3 linked regions of the Caenorhabditis elegans genome follow. The protein of the gene in region 3 purifies or fractionates together with the protein of the main gene of each other region. This does not show direct contact. Each region holds a gene or a part of one and is shown on either strand. Other genes may lie near its edges.

Region 1 (3,562 bases), 2.7 Mb from region 3:
TTCATAATCTCGCGCAAAAGAGGCGTAGGCATTTACCGCAGCCTACGTGCCTGCCTACAGCCTAATTTCTGGGAAGGTGCCTGATGAACAATGATTTCCTATGGAATTTGTCTTTGAAATAATTTAAGTCTCACTTTGAAACACAAACGTGCTTTCTTTTGAGGGTTATACACCTGCCTTTGAAAAGACTATCCTCCAAAAATAAATAAAAGATTACATATTTATTGTGCCCACCGAAATTTGAAAATTCTTATTATGTTCATGTTCCAGAAAACGACGCTTTTGTAATTTTTGACAATAAAAGTCAAATTAACATTATGACGTGATTGGTTTTGTGCTTTGAACATTGTGTCTCACCAGGGAATGTTCGGAAAGTTTTAGCTATGATGGTAAACCACAAAGGAAGGCGGTGTAGGTCTGATTTGTACCTAAAAGCATGCCTACTTCCCAGGCTTTTGTAAATATCCTGTATATTTCAACACTCTTGCAATGCAAAAAGCTTCTATAGAAACATCCTGCTGAAAACTTTACCATAAAATTTTTAAAAGAACAATTCATTCAAGATATTTTAGAAACATCGATTTCCATTAAAACAAATTAGCAAAAAATTGCTTCTTGAAATATGAATTAAAAAATAATACAAAATTGCAAACTCATTTCAATTTAGAATGGGTAATCTGGACGGTTTGCAATATACTTCTGAATTCTGTCGATGCTCTGAACCTTCTTACGATGTGCCAAAACCTTCTTGAACTCCTCAACAACTGCCAAATCTTTATCCAAAATATCTTGAACGTGCTGCGAAATCAAAAGATCCACCCATGTCAAAGAGTTTCCAACAAAGAAACCACTGTGATTAGATGCCAGAATGTTCTCGAAAAACTCGAAATTCTTTTTGAAAGCTGGAACAAAAACATCAGTTCTCAGTTGATCCTTGTCTCCAGGTTTGAATCCAGCAAGAACTGTTAAATATGGGGAGACATCGTTGAGATAATCCTTGAATTGATCAGCAATTGCATCCACTTCTGCCGCCTCGGTGTCATTTTGTCCAGCAATTCCGAACTCTCTGGCCAAGTACCGAGCAATTGCATATGACTGTCCCAATGGTTTTCCATCGACTTCCAAAATTGGCAATTGACCGAATGGAGTGTCTAGAAATTTGAAATTTGAGGAGAAGTGTTTTAAAATAAAATCTAATCTTAATTTTAAAAAAGTATGAAGGTCTTAGAAAATTTTTCGGATTAGTTCGATCTCCAGGAGCGACTTTTCCACAGTGTCCAAGATGTTGTCAGAAAGCACAATTCCATAAAAAGTTTCAAGCATCAAGTTTTCCTCGTACCTACAACCTTTTTTCTGAACTTCTGACTGATCACCCTAAATCAGGAAATAAAAAAAACAATCAGAAGCATAATCCCAATTTGCAAAGTGATTTTTTTAAAGTATTGAATCATGGAATACTGTTCTAGTTCGGATGTGAAAAGTTAGAGAACTTTTGTTTGCAATTATCTACAATTTAAAAAATAAACAAATACCGAAATGTATGAAACGTAGTTTTCAAGTTTTGAAACCATTTATCTTTGCCAAAAGTGTATAAACTCACTATTTTTGCGTGCTGGCCATTGTTCAAAGCTCAGATTCTCCTCGGAATAATCCTGTCCTGCATAGGCAAAGATTTGTCGAGCAATTTCAGCACGGGCTCTTAATGGGAAGTAGACGAGCTTGTAGTGAACCATTTCGTGAAATTTTTTCCTACAAAATGAATGTGAATTATCATCAAATACTGGGTTATTCTTATCATTTTTTGTGTGCTCTACTATCATTATTTACTTTTCAATATATGACTGAAGATATTTGATGACAAAACCAAAACTTGAGAGCACAGCGTTTTTCGGATCACTTTCAAGATTGACTATAGTATGATCAACCGTGATTTCAGAAATCAAAAAGGCTTTGAGAGGATAATTAATTTTAAAGCTTTATGGGGAATATACAGTCTGTTACTTCTTGATATCATGTCAATTCTTGATAATTTCTTTTTTGGAAAGACCTGAAATTAAGAAAAAAACACATAATTGCTTACTTATTAAAATAGATTTAGGAACATTTATAGGATGCGTACAATTTCGCCGATTAAAATTGAAATTCTGAAATTTTGGTAATTTCTGATTTCCGGCAAAATGCCGGTTTACCGTTATTGCCGGTTTCCCGTTTTTTTGCCGTAAAAAAACATTTGCCGCTCACACCTGAAGTGCCTTAGAGTTGCATTTCTTTTCCTATACTTTCATATTTTCAAAGTTCCAATCTTGGTATACATCACACTCAACGGACCAAATAACTTCCTAAAATCGCTAAACTGAGCATCTTCAAACTGGCGTATCTCGAAAAATACAAGTCTGAAAAACAATTTTTAACTAACAAAATGATCAGAAACATTTGTTCTTTCTATTACATTAATTTGTATATCAACAACTTTTTGTAGAGTTACACAGAGTCAAAGCCATTTTTCCAAAATTCAAAGAAAAATTTGAGAACTCTTTTGTTGTACCCTTTATAACTCAATATTCATTGAATTTCAAAAGATAAATTTTGTTAAGTAGTAAGTGAAAAATATTTCTCCACATTTTATCCGTTTTAAGTTTTTCGATATTTTCATGTTCCGCCAAGTTATAGACCGTTTTCTGAAAAAATCCAATCTCCGTCATAAAAATCTTCATATCCAACGTATCGACTTGAAATTTTGAAAAATGATCATTTTTTTGAGGTTTCTACAATGTCCTAGAAAATCTTTCAAAAATGTGGGCTCATCTCCAAAATCGTCCTCCGCTCCAAAATAAGAAATGGGACTTTTGCTTTTCGAAAAATGAGCGGAAAAATGAAATTGCGATTTTTGGGTCGAAAAAAATATTTTTAGAAAGCTGAGAACACGCTATTTACGAATTTCATGTTCATTTTAAGTGATTTCTTCTCTGAAACGACCTAAAAATTCTCTGTGCAACTCTGCAAATAATTAGTTTTTTGCAGTGAAAAGTAATGCAAATAAAAGTAAAAATATTTTGAATCATTTTGTTAGTTAGCAATTTTTGCTCAAGACTTGTATTTTTCCAGATACGGCAGCTTGAAGTTACGCAATTTAGTGGGTTTAGAAAATTAAGTTGACCACCGAGGCTTCCACTTTTGCTGGCAAGTTTATCCGTTTTGCAATTCAATTTTTTCAAATCTGCGATATTAGTAGAATTTTTGATTAATTGTTATTATCGTGAATATAGCAAAAAAGTGAACATTCACATTTTTGTGAAACTATTTTTTTGGAAATTTACTCTTGCTGGTATGACTATACCTTGTTTTCAGATATCATTAACTTTTTATTCTCATTCCATTTCTGTCTCACTCATTTTCATTTTCAATCCTTTTCTCTCTTTTTCCATCACTTTTTCGTTTTTCATCGTCGGACGGACGAGAGACCTCACCAAGTACCACACCACAACAGGCAGCAGTTTATTAGCAAGTTTCTCACGTCTCTCGTTTTCAGGAAACGTTGGAAAATGGAAGAATGATGAAAGAA
Region 2 (5,675 bases), on a different chromosome or scaffold from region 3:
ATATAAAAACATGCGCTTCTGGGAGTAAGTTTGTTTTTATTAGATAAAAATATTATCATTCCCTTGTTATCTTTTTGTTATTGTGTTGAATAATCAAACAAGATAATTTTCATTTAAGTGTGTGAAGCGTCCGACCAATTCAGAACATTCCTACTATAACCAATGTAACAGTCTATGTATAAAGTCACATGTTACCACACATTTTATGATTTTTACGGAACTAAAGAAGAGTTTTTAGAAACTACTTGGTACATACTTATCAGAATGGTTTGCACGAAGGAAATTGGTCTTGAATTTCAATTTTCTCTGCCGCTTCTTCCAATCTCCCAGCACACCCATGTCTATGAAGCAAAACCAAATTGCGATGGAATCGGAGCAATTTTTGATATCAACTGATAATGTTCATTCGTTTCCGAAAAGTCTTAACGAGGCGAAACCATGCCGATCGCACTATTTACAGATCATATTATAACAAAAACGGTTTGTGTTTCATTATTTGATAGCACAAACTGTAGACAAGGAAATACGCACCTAGTTTGGTTTGCTGGAAGAGCATGACAAAAGAAAACAATTCTCCATAAAAGCGTCTAAAATGTAACAATGAAGATCGAAAAGTAAAAACTTGTGGCAAAGTTCTAGACTGGATAATTGATGCGACAACCAAGTGGTTTTGTTGCGTTTTTAGTCACGATTATTCCAATTCAGGCTCTCAAATGACGTCGTCACACATAATGAATGAATTATGACAAAACAGACTGCACTACTGAAGAGAGCAATGCGGAACGAGGATTCAGTGTGTAAACTAAGGTAAATCCGCGTGAACGTCGTAACTGCTTGGATTTACTGTCTATTCACTCATTAGTGAGTGATATACTTGTATTGAATGAAATTTCCTAAAGCTCCCGTCGTTACGGAATTCACGGTCAATTGAATTTACAAAAACCGTCCGTATTCAAAAACATTATTATAAAATGAATAAAAATTGAATTGTTCGATGTTTGATTGTTTACTGTTTTGGTTTTTGTTTAGATTATTCTACTTGTACTTGAATTGTCCTTTTAACATTTTAGTGAAAATAATCAAGCTTGAATGAGTTTTTTTTCAGTTTCACATGACTTAACCCTTGCACAAAGTTGTTGAGCCGGAAACTAAAGCTTACTCATTAGAAAAATTTACCTACTACCTGATCGTAGTTAGGGTTTTTACAAATAATCTTTGTGTTAAAAGAGAAAAACACGCTTGTTTTGTGAAAAGAATGCTGGTTCGAGATGTATCTGGGGAACTGAAAAACGTCGGTTCAAAAATTAGCTCAATATTATTTTTAATGGAACTTTATAAGAAAAAAACATCATCACATAAATACGAAAATCTAAATATTACCTCATTGAAATTTGAATAACAAAAAAAATGGTCAAAGACACAAATAAATATAATCTTGATCCTATTTCAGAGTATTTCCTCGTCCACCCCCACCAATCAAAAGTATATTAGGAAGCCGCGTTCTTTTTGACCCGAAGATTGGATTATAAGATTAGCAACAGAGGTGTATCCTTTCACGGAAAATTGCAGTCCATTTCAATAATCACAAGATTTCTGATTTGTTGCATTGTGTTGGTTTTCTGGGGAAGGATATACGTTTTTCTAGAACTATCCATGCCACACTTTGATTGGCATTGAAAGTGGCATCAATTGCTCTTTCGCTCTGCGATCACAGAGCTGTAACTCCGCCTCTGACAGTCTTCGGTACAGGTGCTTACGTAGGAATTACCGGGTTTTGAGATAAGGAATTGTGATCAAAGGCACGTGTAAGTTGATATAAAAGAGAGTCCAAAAGTTAGCAAACTCAGACAGCTTGTCCATCAGCCGATATGTTTGTCAAATCGCTTCTGCTCCTTTCTGTCGGTGAGTGTGATAACAAAATTAAAACTGGTTTCAGTGAACAGCAAAATTGTATAAGATCTAGTAAATCACCAGCTCAAAAGAATTAGATCAAAACCAACATGAAATTGGATTTTTAAGGTGCTAATTTAATTTCAATGTTTACATTTTCTTTTTTTTTTAGTTATCAGTTGAAAATGTTTCGATAAGTCTGAACACTGATGCGTTCAATCAATTAAAACAAAACTAGAGAAATTTTTAATTTCCATAAGGCTGGTAATATCTTCTTTTAAAAACAAAGAATGAAACGTCATTTAAAGTTTAATATCGGCTAACCAAAGATTAATCTAGACTCAACTACTCCCATATTTAGTGTTAACTCTTGTTGTTGTTTGCTTGTTTATAAAATTTTATCGGATGAAAGTTCGCTTAATATTAGCTCAAATCATTTCTCGGCTCACGGGACATCTGATTATAGGTTTACAGCTAATAGCACGTTTTGAAAGCTAAATATGTGTTTCACATTTGTAAAAAACAATAGGGAAAAGTAACAACAATTATAGATCGAAGAAATAGGAGAAAAATAAAAATAAATTGAAACTTTAAAAAAAGGCAGAGACAGCGAATAGAACTATTTCGTGATTACGGTATTTCAGCTATTGCGTACGTTTCCGCCGACTGCCTCCACTGCATCTGCATGAGAGAGTCAGGATGCAAACCAATCGGTTGCCACATGGACGTTGGATCCCTCTCCTGCGGATACTATCAGGTAAATCAAGATCAACTAGGGAATATGTGAATCTAGAAATGGAAATAGCAGAATATCAGAACACGTTTTCAATTTTGTCATGAAACCATACAAGATGTTCGGTTGCCTGTTTATTGTTTTGCCATTTAAATAAGGAAACAATAACACTTCAGAAAAATACGTGAAATTCAAAAGCTCATCTTTCATGTCTTCATTAATTGATGGTTTTTGAAATCGGCACGAAATGTTTGTTATGCCTCATTGAACAGATATTTCTTTAATGAAAATCTAGCATAATTGAAACGGTTCATCGGACCACAGCCCCCATATTTTTCACATATCTCTTCTCAAGCGAATCGGAAGTTCCTAATCAGTATGGTAAAATAAATCGCGTTGAATTTTAATTTTGAGTTTTTTCGATAAAAATGTATAACAAGAAACGATGTTTTAAATTGCTAAAACAAAAAAACCACAAAAGAGCAAATGCGTACTTTCCCGAGGAAATGGACAGGAAATGCTTTGAAAATGTTAAAACGGGATTGATTTTTGTATAGGGGAACTTTTGCATTGAAGCTAAGAAGATAAAAGGCATACTAGAAATGAAAACTTTCAAAACCATGTAGACAAGGAAATTGTATGGAACAACAACAAGGATATACAAAAATTGAACTCTACTCTATGTATTCCAGTTTTTTTTAATTTTAAATGTACCAAGACCCAACTATAAAAAGTAAAGAATAAAAATATAATATGTTTCTTTTAGATCAAGATTGGATACTATGAAGACTGCGGACAACCAACAAAGAAGGCTGGAGAGACTACTGAAGCTGCCTGGAAGAGATGTGCTGATGATCTTAACTGCGCTACCACTTGCGTCGAGGTACGTGCAGATTTAGCAACAGGATACATGCAAAAAAAATCATCAAAATTCTTATTTTGGGAAAACGGGTGTTGAGTGGGTGCAACTTTTCATCCTTAAATCGCAAAATTCCGGATAGACTGCGGCTTATTTCAGTCATGGAAGCAATTCTATCCTTTGGGAATCTCGTCATATCATTCTCAAAATTAAAAACTTCGCGACTAAATTTAGTGTACGAATTACGTGGATCGCCCACCTGAGAACTCAAATTTCTACTATCTGCCGCTAATTGAGGCAAATTAATTTAAACGTCATGTAGACAATACTGCGATGAGTAACTTTTCTGCAATTTCAACGGCGGAACTAGAAAAAAAGGAACTAGCTCAAAATAAGTTGCGAGATAATGTCAAAAATCACAGAATTAACCTGTAAACAAAAATGCACACATAGCAAACGAGCCCAGCAAAAAACGTCATTGTTAGCTTCTATGTATGGCTATAGCGGTGGCGACGTTAACGACATCAAAGACAATAAGTACTTATTGTTATCAACACCCCGCTAACAACGTGCTTACCACGCCATAAAAAGTAGCAAAGAAAGATTATGACGGCTTGAAAAGAGGTTAAAGAACTCTAATACGGAATGAATGTTTGCACTCTTCACAAAATTTATTGAATACGTCAAAAATCACATATACAAAAGAGGAAATCTAAAATTTTAAAATCTACATGTTATACAAGCATTTTGAAATAATTTCAGAACTACTACAACCGCTACAAGTCTCAGTGCAATGGACTTGGAATGGGAGCTTGCCAGGTGAGTCGCCTACGCAGTTGTTGTTTTGCTCTGGGCACTTTCAAATTGTGTAGATGAAATACAATTTAAAGTTTTCGAGTGTCTGGTAGTTTGGAGGAGGTTGCCCCCCGATTTTGATTTTTGAATTGATCAGAAGGAAACAAAATATTTCATAAAGTGATGCGAAGTTTTAGGAAAGATACAAAAATTTCCGCGAAAAAGGGGTCAGAGTTTTTTATTTAGAGCAAGAATGCTACTACGCAACTAACTATAAGAGGTTGAAAATTAAATGTCGAACATTTCTATTTTGGGTAGCAGGGGAAAACATTAATATGCCATAGTCACTAGGTAGGTGAAACGACCCTCTGGAATAGAGAAATTATTGCAGACCTGAACAGGTCTGACGTAGAAATGTCTAGAGCATCCAAGTAGTATTCCACCAAAAAATGTACATATACTTCCTGACAATTTTTGGAAAATTCTGACGACAGAAACACTACAATTTTTTCTCGATTCTTTATCTTTTAATCATTTTGGTCACACTTGAGCAGTTTTTTAACATCATTTCATTGAGTGGACATGTGTATTTGACAATTGATAATAGTGGGACTAACAATCAGAAAACTACGTAGCATTTTCAGAAGTATGTTGTTTTGTTCAAGTTAGGACAAAAGACCTTAGATTTCAATCAAGCAAATGGCAATCCATTCAATTTCAGATCATGTCCCGTAACCACAACGGAGGACCACGTGGATGCCACAACGCCAACACCTTGGCTTACTGGAACGGAGTTAAAAGCTGCTGTGGATGCTCTTAATTTTCAATTTTATCAAAATAAGAATATATATGAATCAATAAAGCTTATTTAAAATCAAAGTAGAAAGGATATCAAACTTGTTTATAAGCTTTTCAAAACATAGGTTGCGAAAAAATGCGAACGTTTTGAAAAATAATTGAGTAGGCGAAGAGGTCAGTGGGTTTAAAATGATGTCAGAGTGAACAATTTATGAGAACAAGCATATCGTTTTCTAAATTTGTAAAGGTCTAAGTAGACCACCATCTATGTCATAGGTTGTATCTTAAAATAAGTTGACCCGTTTTATGATCTAGTTTTATATTCTTTTTGCCTCTGGTGAGAATAAACAAGGCTTTCAATTTGTCTGCTCGATGATGCATGATGTTTACGATACTTTCGGATTAAAATAATCGTGAGATGGATTTGCACGAAAAGGTTGCGGAACGAACAGCTCGAATGATATTAAATGATAATCTCGAATTGTCAACAAAGTACATTATGAAGTGATAGGAACTGTTGTTCGCAGACCTGAGATGTTTTGAAAACTTGATTTTAAAACCTACGCAACCGGAAAATTAAAGATCACAAGATTTCTGTGA
Region 3 (7,776 bases):
AAACACCGACTACAGTACCCCCAAAACATCGAATTTGACGCGGTTTTCCGAATTTTGAGCTGAAATATCAGGGAAAACGTATGTTAAAAAATAATGGGAAATGGAAAAGAAACTCGAAAAAAAAAATTTTAGGGAAAAAAAATTTCGAAAAAAAAAAATTCCAAAAATTTTTTTAAAAAATTTTTCTCCGTCAATTTCCCAACACATTTTCCAATTTTCAGTCATTTTCTGAAGCCCGGAGCAGTTCGAATCGACCATTCACTGAACATGCCAAACCCAGAAATTGAACGAAGTGCATTTTTGAATCCGGATGGCTCAAAAGTCGTGGTGCTCCATAATAAAAATCCTTTGGCACCATATAGTTTATCAATTAAGGATACTATGAAGTCTACTGATCATTATCAAGTTCATTTATCACCTAAAACAATTGTTACGTTGTATATTCAAAATTAGAATAAAATATCAATTTTTTAAAATTTTATTTTTGAAAAATTTAAAAAATCGTGTTGAAACCTGAACTTTTAGTGTAAAAATTTGAATTATTCATTCAATTTCTGAAATTTTAAGCCCCATATCGACTAGAATCGGTTCACTTTGAAATTTGAGCCCCGCGGCGCGGTCGCATCGCGGTCCAAAACTACTAAAATTTAAAAATTGTTTAATACATGCCAATATGGGTGTTAAATGGATGGAAATTTTTAGAAAAATTCGAAAACATGCATAAAAAAGTTTAAAACTATAGGTAAGATGAGTTTTCGATTTTCGACCGCGACGCGACCGCGCCGCTTTCAAAAATTTAAGTTTTATATTGCCTCAAATCATAGCATTGCAGGTGTCAAAGTGATGCAAAATAGCTTGAAACTTAAATTATTCGAACAGACATCCTCTAAAAACGTGGAAAACTTTTTATCTAGCGACTTTTTAGTCTGGACCGCGACGCGACCGCGCCGCGTCCCAAAAACCACCAAAATTTCAAACTGCTTCAAAACATGTCAATATGGGGGTCAAATTGACGCAAATTTTATGAAAAATCCAACAATCAACATGAAAACTTATTTAATAAGCAATTTTTGTCGAAAAATCCACTAAAACTGTGAAGTTTGAATATACAAAGTGGTAATAGCTCGATGTGGAAGTGTAAAATGATAGTGATTACGGCTATCAGCAGCATCCTGGACAACTACTGTGTGCTCCGTTGAGACTAGCTGAAAATTTAGAAATTTTCGGCTGAAAAGTTGGACTTTCAGCACAAACCGAGCCCTTATTGAGCATTACAATAACTTTTGAGCCATCAGGATTCAAAAATGCGGTGGTTTCAACTTCCAGCTCAATTACATTTAATGAGTGGTCGATTCTTACTGCTCCAGGCTTGATGAAGTGACTGAAAATTAGTTATTGCGAAATCCAGTGTTTTCGTGAATTTTTAGATGGTAGAAATTTTTTCTGAAAATTTACAGTTTGAAATTCAAATTCTCCGTACTTCAATTAGTCTGATTCTGAATTTTTAGCTCAAGTTTCGAAAATTGCGCCAAGTTCGGTGTTTTGGGGTACCGTAGTCGGTGTTTGCGTACTTTTGGAGCTACAGTAACCCGGGAATTTTCAAAATTGAGCTAGAAAGATCTAGTTTTTGAGACTCAATCTAAAATTTTGCAGGAAACTCGTATTTGAGCTCAAAAACTCAAAAAATTTCAGAATTTCATCGATATTCAGATGTTTTTGTCGTTTTGGTTAGGTTCCAAAACAATTCTCAGCATTTTTAATATCAAATTCAAATTCTCCACTATTTTCTTAGTATATCTGTGAATTTTTAGTTCAAAATTCGAAAATTGCGTGAAATGCGGTGTTTTGGGGTACTGTAGTCGGTGTTTGCGTACTTTTGGAGCTACAGTAACCCTCGAAATCTCAAAATCGAGCTAGAAACTTCTAGTTTTTGATTTCAAAACTAAAATTATACGAGAAATTCGAATTTCTGTTTGAAAACTTGGAAAATTGCGTGTTAAGCTGCTTTTCAGACAGTTTTAGAAAATTTTCAACAAAAATTTCCCAAAAAATTTCAATTTTTATATTTTCTAGATCCAATTTTAACGACAAATTCTAATATTTTAGTTATTTCATGCAGAAACTAATAGAAACCTACCTAAAATGTGCAATCGCATAAAACATGGGCTGCTTGTAGAATTGAGCCATCGCTGGGAACGCAATGACCGGCGCATCTGTGTAGTCGGACACCCATGATGGACCACCCAGGGCGTCTAGGATTAGGTTACGTTCTGTCCAGCCAGTCATCCAGTTGTTCATGTTCTGGAAAAAAATGTAGAAAAAAAAATTATGAAAAAAAAAATTTGAAAAAAAAATTAAAATTTTGAAATTTTTTTTCCGAACTTTTCCCCAATTTTCTAGAAATTTCTTCAAAACTATATTTTCTCTTACATCTAAAATATCTGAAGCAGTATCTGCTGCACGATCCCAATTTCCATAATCCACGTGGGTGTCCTTGGACCCGTAGCCTTCGGAAGCCTGAAATTTTGGGCCTAAATTTATTTTTCTGCCTAAAAACTAAAATTTACCTCAGTGCCTAAAATAAAAAAATTTGGATGTTTTTTGTGAGTCTCATCCAAGTGATTATCAGTTTCTCCGTCTTGATATGCGTGAACCCCGATACCGCCCACGTACTTTGCGGCGTCCATGTCGTTTAGAACCTGGAAATTGAGAATTTTGAGTATGAAATTCGAACTCTCCGTAAAATTTGCAAAATTTTAAGCCCCATATCGACTTTATTCGGATAAGTTTGAAATTTAGGGCTTGCGGCGCGGTCGCGTCGCGGTCAGGTTTTCATAAACTTGTTTTAACGTAGCCTTGGGCTTTCAAAACATGAAAATTTGAATTTTTCGTGAAATTTGCTGAAATTTGACACCCATATCGGCTATATTCGGACAAGTTTGAAATTTGTGGCATGCGGTGCGGTTGCGTCGCGGTAAAAATTCTACCAATTTTTGAAAACGCTCGAAATTGTTGTTAAAAACAATTGGTTGCTGCAAAATTATTATCTATAATGTCTTGGAAGCGTACCAGACGTCACAGTTCGCCCCAGCTCGATATGAAAAAATTTGACCGCGACGCGACCGCACCGCAAGTCCAAAATTTCAAAATGATCCAAAATAGGTCAATATGGGTGTCAAAACTTTGCAAATTGTACGGAGATTCCAAATTTGACAACATTAACTTACAGTATCTGCCCATTTCGGCAAGTTTCCTCGATTATCGTCCAGAATCAGAAGTTTCACATCTTTTCCAGAACTTGAAGCAGCCAGGGCTGGTCCCAAGTCAGTTTTTATGAAATCTCGTTGTGTTTCAGCTGTGAAAAGTGTCGATTGTATTTTATTCTTCTTATCGGAGCCTAATGTTGGCTGGTTTTGAGTTGAAAGTCCCCAGAATGAGATTCCAGATTTTCCGTACTCCTCGAGGAATCTGAAATTCGAAAAAAAACTCTGATATAGTCTGAAAATAGTTGAATTACCTGACAAAATATTTGGCGTATGCCTGATGATAGTTATCCCCAGCTTTTCCGTTAAGAGCCCCAGGTCCTGTCATTTCTTTAGTAGTCTTAAGCCATCCTGAAATTATTGAAACAATTTTTTTCTTAGGAAAAACAGACAATTTTCGAGCGTTGGCATTTAAATTTCCGAATTAAGCGCAAAATTTTCGTTAATTTGACACCAATCTCGACTATAATCGGACAACTTTGAAAATTAGGCAGATGCGTTGCGGTCGCGTCGCGGTCGAATTTTCAAAAGTGTGTTTAGAAGCGATTATGTGATTTGCAGCTAAATTTTTTGAATTCTCCGTAAAATTCGCGGAATTTTGATATATTGACTATATTTGGAAAAGTTTTAAATTTAGGATATGCGGTGCGGCCGCGTCGCGGTCCGGAATTAGAATTTCGAAATTTGTACCAAAAGTGCGCCAAACTTGTGTTTAATCTAACACAGAAAAATTTAAATACTGCCAAACAGCAGGAAACCCTGATTTTTAATCAGTTAACGCTCCACTTTATTTTCTGGGCCGCGACGCGACCGCGCCGCATGGCCAAAAATTCAACTTGCACCGAATATAGTCAATATGGGGCTTAAAACTCAGCAAATTTTGTGCTAAATTCAAAAATCTTAGTGAGAAACATTACCTGGTGCTGCCCACGGAGCTGCAAATAACTTCAAGTTCGGATTGTACTTCTGCGCGTTTTTGATGTATGGGATCTAAAAATTTTTAAGAGTAAATTTAAAGTTGCGTTGAAATAAACTCACTTTCCACTGGAAATCTTCCTTAGTCAAATTAAAATTCTGCATTGAATAATCATTTGCGACATCGTTATAACTGTAAACTCGACCCGAAAAATCTGTGCTGGCTATTGGAACTCTACCGAATTGGAGGTTAAGTCCTGGAAAAAAATTCAATGGAGCGCACTTGCAATACTGAAAGTTGTAGAATTTGAAATTTCCTAGCGAATGACATATACTTAATTTGAAAATTGTTTGATGTTGCAAGTGCGCTCCACTGAACTTTTGGAATAACTTTCTTCAAATCGGTTCTAGAGAGTTGGGGTAAGAGAGAAAACTGTAGAGAAAATTGTGATCTATCAATTGCAATTAATTTCAAAATTTAATTTCCAAATTTGCAACTGCGCTCTACTGAACTATCGACGTAACTTTTTTCTCAGTGGTCCTAAAAACCTAAACTTTTTTGCAATTGGCCAGTTTCAGCTTAAGCTGTTTAAAAAATGCTAACCTGTATCCGAAAAATATTGTTTCATAATCAAATCCGACAATTTGTCCGGCAAACTCTTCAGGTTTGCACCAGAAGCATCGGAAAATGTGGAGCCAAATCCTTGGATCGTCTGGTATTTTTTGGAGGAGTCAATTGTCATGTGCAGGGTTCCGACTGAAAATTTTAGGGTTTTCAATTCAAAAATTAGAATTTTTGTAAAAAATTAGTAAAGGAACATTTTTTTAGGTACAAGGAAAATTTATTTTAAGAACAAAAAAAAATTCAAAAACTAAAAAATTTCAAAAATATTTTTTAAGCTTCGAAAATTTTTTTCAAACTTGTTTCAGCTGAAAATTCCACAACTCACATGGCTCAGTATCCGTCGCATAGATGACATCCCTGTGGAGCCGGGCGCCGGTATGGGAGGTGGTGTAGAGTGCCGCCTGACCCATAGTGATGTCCAGAGGTGGAATCTGGAATTTTTATACAATTTTTTGAATTTTTCGTGAAATTTTGGTTCAGGAAAGTGTCGGATTTGGCTTAAAGTAACAATTAAAATTAAAAAAAAGGGAAAAAATTTTCTTTTGGAAAATTACCTTTTTTTATTTTTTGAAAATTTTAGATTAAAAAAAAGCGACTGGTTAAAATGCATTTTCATGGGGATTTTCGAGTTTCCCGTGAAATTTCCTTTGATTTGACACCCATATTGGCTATATTCAGACAAAAACTGAATTTTGGTCATGCGTCGCGGCTGCGTCGCGGTCAAACTTTATAGACCCCCTTTAACCAGTTTTAAAGATTCTTTTTGGATAATCTCAATCAATTTTACTTAGTTTCTAAAAATCCTTGCTTGATTCATTGGTTTCTACAAGAATTCTAAAATTTTCAAGTCCGACCGCGACGCGACCGCGCCGCAGGGGAAACTAATTCAAATTTCAAATTTTATGAAATATGGCCGATATTGGTGTTAAATCAACGGTAATTGCGAGGAGAATTCAAAAATTTATATGAAATTTTCATAACAATTTTGGTTTTCAATTTTTTTTCCAAAAATGTTTTTTTTTTCAAATCTCACCTCATCGCAAGAATCGAGACTACAAACGCATACTGTTCCGGTTTTAAATGTTTTTTCCGTACAATCAGCTGCCCGGACACTATCTGAAAAGCGGGATTTCGGAGTGTCGTAGTTCTTGAAAAATTCGACCTACCAACTCCAAAAACCGCTAAAAATATGAAGATTTTCAATAAAAATCGTGACTTCATTTTGTGAAAAAATGGCACAAAATGACGACTAAAGTCTCGTAGTTTTGGCGTTTTTATGAAGTTTATCAGTGTTTCTTATCAGTACCCGGTTCATAGAACACGTGGTGGAATTTACGGAAATTGTGACGATAGTTTTGGAACATAGAACAAAATATGATTATAATTAGGTAAAATTTTTGATGTCAAAAGTTTTTTTGCAAGAAAAATCTGAGTGCAAAGCGAGATTTTGTACAATTTCAAGTTCAAATTCGAGTTGCTCACAAAATTCCAGGCAGGACCCCTGAAATTAGAGCTTTCTAGCTCAATTGTGAAAATTCAGGGGTTACGGTAGCGCCAAAAGTACGCAAACACCAAATTTCACGCGATTTTTGAAATTTGAGCTGAAATTTTTATTGTAGACTAAGAAAAACACGGAGAATCCAAATTACATATTTAAAAATCTGAGCAATTTTCTTAAAAATCAGAAATTTGGCTGAAATTCTACAATTTTGAATTTTCACTCAAAAAACCCGAAAACTATTGATTTTTCAGGGGAAAAAACCAAAAAGCATGAGAAGTGAGCCCAGTAACCATTAAATTCCAAAAATTACAATTCGAGGGTTACGGTAGCGCCAAAAATACGCAAACACCGCCAAAACATTGAATTTTACGCTCACGGACCGACAAGTGGTACATCCATGCAAACGCGCTCTACTGATAATTTGAGTGTAGACCAGGTTTGGGCGCGTGATAACGAAAAAAGCTTTGGTCCAAAAAATTTAGAATTTAATTTCGGACATTTTTTATATGCATCACAAAAAAACTGGACCAACCGTTTTTGAGATACTTGCGCCCAAACTTCCAGGTATACGGTAGACAAATTGCGTACAGGTACCACTTCTCGGGCCGTGACGCTGAGATTTGGGTCGTAGAGGAAAATTACTATAATTTCAAATTAAATGCTTAAAACTTTTTGAAAAACTTGTCGGAAGTCATAAAATCCAATAATTTTGAAAAAATTGCACTATTAAAACTGGAAAACTGGATGCAAATTTCTCCAATTTGATGGCCTTCGAAATTTGAGCCGCGACGCGACCGCAACGCAGCTTGAAAATTATGTCCTTCTGGTCTTCTTTTTCGCGCTCCATTGATAATCGCCGCCGGATAACACGTGGGAAAGTCGTGGGAAGCCAAGCCGCGACGCGGCACACAACGCGCCGTAAATTTACCCCGGCAGTGGCTGAGTCAAGCTGGCCTAATTCGGCAAACTCTTACATTTCAAAATATGAAGAAAATTCACGCATATTTTATTTTCTAATGGAATTTTTTAAAATAAATTTTGATTCATAAGCGTGAAACTTTAAATTAAAAAAAAAAAATTTGAATTTCCAAAATTCGAAAAACAGATCAGTTTCCCGTGACCCCATAAAATCCCTGCCACCTCACCAAAAAACCCCACTATATAAGAAGCGATTTCCCTCCGAAACAATCAGTTCAAACTATCAAAATGAACACCATCGTCTGCCTGGTTGGAGTTTTCCTTCTGGTTTCCGGTAAGTTTTTTGTTTTTTTTTTGTTCAGGCTTGTTTTCCTAAACAAGAATAATTTACAGCTCCATGTGCGTATTCGAAGAAGATGGCGAATACTGACCTTCTTGAAAAAGCCAACGAAATTTTTCAAAAAGAGTTTAAGGATGGTAAATTGATGAGTGAAGGGGAAAATAGTTTCTAAACCTCAGCCTTATTTTTTAAGGTGTTCGACGAGAAGTTGGTG

What was found.
Region 1: the proteins of gba-1 (region 3) and gst-6 fractionate together in Caenorhabditis elegans (co-fractionation; one large-scale study listed by BioGRID). This does not show direct contact.
Region 2: the proteins of gba-1 (region 3) and ilys-5 fractionate together in Caenorhabditis elegans (co-fractionation; one large-scale study listed by BioGRID). This does not show direct contact.

The regions. Positions count from the first base shown.
Region 1 is NC_003280.10:4,878,087-4,881,648, reverse strand, and holds gst-6 (putative glutathione S-transferase 6), read right to left. Parts: upstream 1,759-3,562; 5' UTR 1,734-1,758; coding exon 1,601-1,733; intron 1,152-1,600; coding exon 664-1,151; 3' UTR 544-663; downstream 1-543. UniProt on the Caenorhabditis elegans protein: Conjugation of reduced glutathione to a wide number of exogenous and endogenous hydrophobic electrophiles.
Region 2 is NC_003284.9:6,532,971-6,538,645, reverse strand, and holds ilys-5 (lysozyme), read left to right. Parts: upstream 1-1,805; 5' UTR 1,806-1,868; coding exon 1,869-1,902; intron 1,903-2,534; coding exon 2,535-2,647; exon of another isoform or gene 2,648-3,389; coding exon 3,390-3,506; intron 3,507-4,244; coding exon 4,245-4,301; intron 4,302-4,998; coding exon 4,999-5,097; 3' UTR 5,098-5,156; downstream 5,157-5,675.
Region 3 is NC_003280.10:2,175,195-2,182,970, reverse strand, and holds gba-1 (Putative glucosylceramidase 1), read right to left. Parts: upstream 6,231-7,776; 5' UTR 6,025-6,230; coding exon 5,970-6,024; intron 5,920-5,969; coding exon 5,837-5,919; intron 5,235-5,836; coding exon 5,129-5,234; intron 4,936-5,128; coding exon 4,783-4,935; intron 4,436-4,782; coding exon 4,302-4,435; intron 4,254-4,301; coding exon 4,181-4,253; intron 3,615-4,180; coding exon 3,518-3,614; intron 3,469-3,517; coding exon 3,228-3,468; intron 2,700-3,227; coding exon 2,568-2,699; intron 2,518-2,567; coding exon 2,431-2,517; intron 2,302-2,430; coding exon 2,138-2,301; intron 1,382-2,137; coding exon 1,255-1,381; intron 1,206-1,254; coding exon 1,086-1,205; 3' UTR 461-1,085; downstream 1-460. Other genes in the region: gba-2 (Putative glucosylceramidase 2), read left to right, coding at 222-453; C33C12.7 (AMP-binding_C domain-containing protein), read left to right, coding at 7,697-7,699, 7,756-7,776. UniProt on the Caenorhabditis elegans protein: Glucosylceramidase that catalyzes the hydrolysis of glucosylceramides into free ceramides and glucose. C.elegans contains specific sphingoid bases, which are unique or different in structure compared to the sphingoid bases found in other animals.